2 linked regions of the Oryzias latipes genome follow. The protein of the gene in region 2 interacts with the protein of the main gene of each other region in a biochemical or structural test. Links are inferred from orthologs where the notes say so. Each region holds a gene or a part of one and is shown on either strand. Other genes may lie near its edges.

Evidence for each region. The genes of interacting proteins can lie anywhere in the genome.
Region 1: the proteins of rxra (region 2) and pou2f1 form a complex in vitro, tested with the Homo sapiens proteins (2 studies listed by BioGRID). The link is inferred for Oryzias latipes from reciprocal best matches to the Homo sapiens genes RXRA and POU2F1.

What each region holds. Positions count from the first base shown.
Region 1 is NC_019879.2:10,737,290-10,740,811, forward strand, and holds part of pou2f1 (POU domain, class 2, transcription factor 1), read right to left. Parts: intron 2,932-3,522; coding exon 2,660-2,931; 3' UTR 1-2,659. UniProt on the Homo sapiens protein: Transcription factor that binds to the octamer motif (5'-ATTTGCAT-3') and activates the promoters of the genes for some small nuclear RNAs (snRNA) and of genes such as those for histone H2B and immunoglobulins.
Region 2 is NC_019870.2:23,010,164-23,013,685, reverse strand, and holds part of rxra (retinoic acid receptor RXR-alpha), read right to left. Parts: intron 2,101-3,522; coding exon 1,968-2,100; intron 1-1,967. UniProt on the Homo sapiens protein: Receptor for retinoic acid that acts as a transcription factor.

The DNA.
Region 1 (3,522 bases), on a different chromosome or scaffold from region 2:
GACAGCACAGCAAATCAAGTACACAGTTATTTAACTGAAAATTAAGTAGATCGAGATCTGACACTTTCCAACCTATCAGATTCCATCGACACAGGGGGCGCGCTGTGGCGGGACACGCCCCATCGCCTTTTTTTCTTTTTGGTCTTATCAGTTCATTAGAAAATAAGAAAATAAAAAGCTGAATTAAAAAACAAATTAAGGGGAGATTTGTTTCGAGTTAGCATGATAAACACTACATTCAGACTTGATAACATACTGGATCAAATATAAAATATGAATATCTTACAGGTGTTTGTGTATATATATATATATTTATATATATATATATATTTATATGTATAGAGTTAAGAAAAGATTGTTTATCTAATTCTTAAGTCTTTCCTCATAAATATCTCAGTAACATCCTATGGTGCCAACTGCTTCATCATGCTAGCCTCTAGAAACAGCACGGACCCGGTTCTGGGGGCTCGTCCGGGACCAGACACAAAAGCTTTCAACTTCGGCAAAGTGGACTTCAAAACAACATAAACCTGGAAACAGCCCATAAATAGTAGTACTAGAAAATAGCAGTAGTAGGTTGTCCTTTTCTGTTTTCTTTCTATGCATGGTTCAAATGTATAAAGTCTGAGCGGCGGAGCTGGACAGTTCTTATACATTCTAGAAAGTTCTATACACCCAAATGCCTAAAGGTGAGCCTCATATTGAAGTGCTGCTGAGGTATATTCAGTAATTCAAGAGAGAAAAAAAAAAGAGGAGGATGCGGAAACTGTTTCCAGCGACAGTAATCATTTCTCTGCAGAACAATGCTACGTCTGTGTGGGCTTTAGCACAACGGGTAGCACTTGGCGGCACTGACTCCCCCTGCTGCACAGGGACATAATGTTTGGCAGGTCGAAAACTCGTCCACAGAGGGATTCTGGGAGCAGCATTTCGTCTATCACAGGTTCAAAGTGGGGGCTCGTTCAGGGGGGGGGAGAATTTGATGAATTTACAAGTGTGAGCCCTACAATAGAAGGGTTAAAAAAAGAAAGAAAGAACCAACAACAACCCTGATTTACACAGGATGAAGCTGTAAAGCTATCAGGAAGCATGCAGGCCCCTCGCCGCCCTCAAACAGGAGTTTCAGCAGCGAGTCTTTAAAGCTCAGTTTCTGTGGTTTGGATCCAGCGACACCAAATCGGGGGAACCTGGTGCCGACTGTGGTGGGAGAAAGAGACAGGAGGAAAAAGACGGTTTTGGGAGAGCAGAGATGGTGTGAACAGCAGCTGGTGCGCTCAGGCAGGCACAGCAACCACTCAGAAAAACCACTTTGGTTCAAGCTGTTGTCGTATGGCTGACAGTTAGCACAAAAAGCAAAGAAAAAAAACTTTGTCTTTTGTTTAGAAAAGTCTAAAACTGCTACAATAAATAGTGAAAGGAGCCTCTAAACCGTTTAGAGAAAACCGGATTAAACACGGAGGACCAAACTGTAAAAAGATCAACAATAAAAACGACTTTCTCGCACCCAAACCCACCAATTCATTGCATTTTTGGTTAGTTGTGCTGCCAATTACAAACTGAGCTGTGAGACACTTTATAAACAAAAGTCATCTTTGGAAAATGGTAATCAAAATATTGCATTTCTATATTTCTGAAGAGATTCTGTACTCATAAATATATCGACTAAACTAAGCTACACTAACTACACACACCAAGTATTTGAACAAATATTTTTGGTATATCTTAAAGTACGAAAGCCAGTCAGCTGACAGAATAAAAAGACTGAATTTCATTCCTCCCAAAAACAGGCAGACTGCAGCTCATCTATCCAGTTTTTTGTTTTTTTTTGGTACAGATACTGTGCACAAGTAGATCGTACTACTGTTAAAAAGAACTTAAACATTAAAACCACAATACAACAACCCCCCACCAAGCAAACCGCAGAAACACCCAACTGAACGGAATATACAGTAATCCTATAAATTTCACACACCTCCCCCTCGCTGCAACTCTGCAGCTCACGCTAAAGCTTTCCTCGCCACCTTTTCAGTCATTTTCTGTCAGTGTCTACGAGGCCGCCACCGAGCGGCGCCGTCGCAGCTGCAGCAAAATGTAAAAAGTCAGTGTTTCCAGAAGAAAGGCTCGAAGAGACGCGCGCCGACTCTCCGAGCCCGTAAAGCAATGATAACCTTTAGATCGGCCACTTATTACTTGTTTTTAAAGCCTTTTAACCACAATTCAAAAGTGATAGTTAAATCTTAACTTAATATCAGACTTACAAAGTTCTGAAAACACGACAATATATAAAGTGAGGATAAAGAAGAGAGTCTAAAAATCCACATGATTTAAATCAAGGCCCAAAAGTCAAACAAAAACTGTTAGTGATGAATAGAATTAGTAAACGTGTCGAAGTTTGTAAAAGTGAAATGTGTTTTTGGTTAGAAGTTTCTTTAAGGAGAATTCAAAATATATTAAAAAGAAGAAAGAAAAAAAAAGAGTCCCAATCTGATTGGAGGTCATTTTTCTTTTTGGTGGCAGCAAATAGATAAAAGAAAAATGGTAGATACAATGAGAAGGCTGTTCAGCCAGGCCAGAATCCAAGGAGTAACCCCCTCCCTAAGAGGCGCCACAGGAATAGTGCTCGGAAACGGGGTTAGATCCAGACGCAGCCTCACGGCCTTCACTGGGCCTTGGAGGCAGTGGTGATGGTGGAGGTTTGCATGGGCACAGCGACCGAGGTGGCCTGATGGTTGGCGTCCGCGGTGACCTGGAGCCCCCCGGCGCCGGCTGACACCAAGCTGACGGGGTTGCTGGTGAGCAGCGACAGGTTCTGGGGGCTCAGAAATAGCGGCGTGGTCACCAGGCCGGGCGTGCTGGCGGACGACGTGTTGGCGAACAACAGGTTCCCGCCGTCCAGAGAGGTGATGGGGATGGTGCCGCTGGACGCCAGTGCTGTGGAGGAGACGGAAGCTCAAAATGGTTTCTACCACAAATCCACCAGTCTGTCTTCTAAAACTAAGACACATTCACAAAAACGTATTAAAAACAAAGTATTTAATATCCGTCCTAATAAATAAAAAAGGTTTAGGTGTATTTAACACGTTCTTTTTGGGTTGATGAAGGACATTTAAAAGAAAATCAAGCTAAAAAAATTGCATTTTTGAGTATTTGTTATTCAAATCATTGTGAATCAGGAACTACTGCCACTCTGCAGAGGTTATGTGTATATATGCTATCTAGAAAATGACAGGTTTCTTGATTTTGGTTAAAATGGTTATAATCAAATTCATAGGTATTTTCAAATCAAAAGTTCTCTTCACTCAAACTATTCCTGCTTTGTATCCAATTTCTATAACATTAAAACCGCTTAAAAGTAGTCTGCAAATAAAAAAATAAAATTTCCGCTTATTCAAGCGAGTAAAAGATGAAAGTTTCTGCTTTTTTATAGATTATGTTTGAAAAACCAGAAGAGAAATACATTTAATGAAATGTGCAGACATGGAACCATTTCCCATTTACTTTGAGTTAAACAAATCTTATTGT
Region 2 (3,522 bases):
ATTAAAAACTGTTTGATCTCATTTTTTTGTGATTTTTCCAATTAAAAAGCCAAAATTTACTACGGTATTTTCCGCACAATAAAATGCCCTTAAAAGTCTGAATTTTTTTCAATAATTGACAGTGTGCCGTATAATCCAGAGCGCCTTATATATGGATTATTTCTGGTTGTGCTGTTGCAAGCAAGGCTGGGTGTTATTGTGAATAAACTACCGTAGCTAACATGTAGCAGCGTCAAACTGTTTTTTTTACGTGTTACTAGGAAGGTGGGAGTTGACATTGTCACACTAATGTTAGTTTAGGGCTGTCAGTCTGTTTTTTTAGGTGTTGCAAGCAAGGTACTGTGAATACGCTAATGCGGCAAATGTCTCTAATTCAAAAATAGACTTTTTTGAATATAATTTATTATTACTCTTTTTTTGGAAATGAAGGATGGAGCTCAGTAGCTGACAGTTTGTATGGCATCACTGGTGGGTGTGTCTCTCAAACTGCTCCCCCTTCTATGACTGCATCTTAGTCCGTTTCTTTCTTGCCCTCCCGTTTGGAGTCTCAGGTCAATTGCTGCTCTTAATTCAGCACAATTCAATTTGCTCCAAACCAAAAGAGCAACAAGGAAAAAAAAGGGAAGACAGAAGTGGTGACTGGAGTGTGTGAGTTCATTAGTTTCTTCATTTGGATGGGCAAAAGAGAGACGGTAGTAGGTAATGAAGCCTAATCACTACCCTGAATCCTCATCTCTGCCACACTGAGTGAAAAGATAGCATAGGTCTTGTAAATGCTAGTTACCGGGCAGATCAAAGGGTTCCAGCTCTGCTCTCAAACACATCAAAGTTTTACTTTTGTACGATAAAGCAAACACCTCAGAAATCTTTTTCTTTTTTGTTTGCTTGTTTTATTTTGGACTTCTTTTTCCATTGTTTTGGCAATGACTGTAGGAGCTTGGCTCAGTTTTCTTTTGGAAATTTCGACGTTCTTGGCAGAACCGTTTGGGTTGGATTGGGAATGCCTGGCCATAATCAGAGATCCTTAATTGTTCAGTTCAATTCTGGGTCACTTCAGCATTTTCACACAACTCTCCAGAGGTTATGGCAGCGATTTTGTGGTTTTACTATATAAGATAAAATGTTAAGAACTGAATGCGTTGGTTTTGGGTCAACTCTTCAGACTCACCAGCCCGCATCATGATGCTTCCATTATCATGTTTGAGTAAAAAAAATAAAAGTAAAACCTTTTTCTTATTTAAGAAGCCAGCCAGGTATCTTAATGAAGAAAAAAAATTAGCTGATTTTTTTTATTAACTTAAAATTTTAAAAACAATTATAAACACAAAAATATGTATCATTTTCTATTTGATAATGACCAACATCAACTCCTAAAAAAACTTCAGCAGAGATTTCTCTACTGAAAGATCATGTCACATCAATTCTTTTTTCATGTGTTGCTCAACATTTGAAATTATTGTGTCTTAAAAAAAGGCATATGCATTTTTTGGTAAAGATTTTACAGAAAGTATATCAGTAACTTCCAAAACATTCCATCTTGAATCCGCTCAGACTGATGATGCTGAGGAGAGTACGTCTGTTTTTCAGCTAGCTATCCCAGAACGTCAAACGTCACCAGCGTGGTTCCTGAGTTCTCCTGACTTCACTCAACTTTGCATGGAGTTTTTTACATCTTCTGAGCAGGTCAGAGTTTCCTTGAGAGCTCCAATACGCATTGGTACACATATTTATTACACTGGACTCAGTCAATAGTTCCGACACTGCTCAAAACTTCAAGTAAAAGTGTAATATTTTGTTAAATAAAACATAAATGGCAGATGCTGTCATAAAGCAGAATATTAAAGTTTGTTAAAGCTCAAGCAGGATTTGTGTGTGATGACTTAGGAGCCAATGTAATCACAACTACAAGCCTTTAAAATATGGGGCCGGAAACGGTGTCAAAGTTTAGAAAGGTAGAAGTAAATCACCTGTCAAAGATGGCTCCGACTCCGGCGCTATGAGCGCTGTTGCGGTGGACGTGCAGCCCCGTCGCCAGCAGAATCCCGTCTTTCACTGCTATGGAACGGTGTGAGAATGATGCAATGAGGAGTTCATTCCAACCTGAGGAAGATGAGGGAACAGATTGCAGAAAAGTGAGAAATATGCAACAGTGCATGCTGCATTCAGATGAAGTGAAATGGACAACAAAAGTAGAATTCCAATGAAGCAATTAGAAGCACCATGAAACCCTGCAGTTTTCCCAAGCAAAAGCATCAGGTTATTACTAAGACATCTGAGTCGTGTGTTCTAAAGAGACAGGCGTGTTAAAGGGATGAACTGCGCCTGCCATCACAATAAAGACAACAGGCTTGATGTGCCAAAGCAGGGGGCCTGACATGGGGGGCGGCGAAGACACTAGACGCCGCTGCAGGAGTGACAGGGCTCCTTTAACTGTTCTGCCTGGTAACACTCGCCTCTTCTCCCCACAGTTGATTTGGCTTTGAGAGAAGCTGGGATGCTTTTATCCGTGATACAGCAGAACTAAAGTGGTTATTTATAGAAAACCTGAGAGCAAAGAAGAGACGAGCTCTGCAGAATAATGTCTTTCTACTCTGGTGAAGTCTCTCCATCATTGAATGTGAAAAGGAGGAGAAATGATGGGAGCATTTTTTTTTTTAAAGTGATGGCTCTGCTGCGCATATCTGTTTTTTTCCACATGATGGTGTAATTCGGAGTGACAGGCCTGGAACGTAGGCAATGTGTTGGGAGAACCCTGAAGAGCTTTCAGCATGTGGCAGCGGTGAATGTAGCAGAAGTGACAGATGATTCACTCCATGCTGCTTGGAGCTGCATCTGTGATCTTTAGCAGCTAGTTTGCTTTTCCACAAAAATCCGATTAATGCAGTAATTATGGGAGTGTGGCCTAAGTCGGGCAGCCTGACACCATTCTTTTCCAACTTTAAGGAGTTAGCTGGCGTAGTGCTGACCTGCATTGATTACAGAATACTTGGATATTTGAAAATTTGAGTACAAATATGATGAAATATTAGTAATATTATAAATATAGTAAAGTATGGTAAAATAAACTTTTGTCAATGTAATATCGCTTTAATATGGAGAATATGTTTGGAATTTAAGTGAAAAAATTAAATAAACCACTTGTGCCACTGTCACTGGAAGTTTATAAATCTTCAAAGTAAAGTGTCAGTGTTTTCTAGTTTTTAAAGAGTCATTTTTTTAAGGTGTTGTGGCAATTCCCTATCTTCTCGTCATCTATCGACTGGAACGGTAGTCCAACAAAATTTTGAAGATGGAAAAATTGTGGAAAACATTTGAAGGATTTGTTGATAAATGACCCTAAACAACATTAATGTTTATGTTTTTTTTACTGCAGAAGTTAACCAGGAAGTTGACAGAAACACTTTTGACTGTGACTGGCTTTGAAGTAACACAATCTTTGTGTTTTTATCTGTTATGTTTTGTTGATTCTGATCTCCTGTTCTAATTAAAGGTATAAATGATGGTGATTAAATAAATATTATT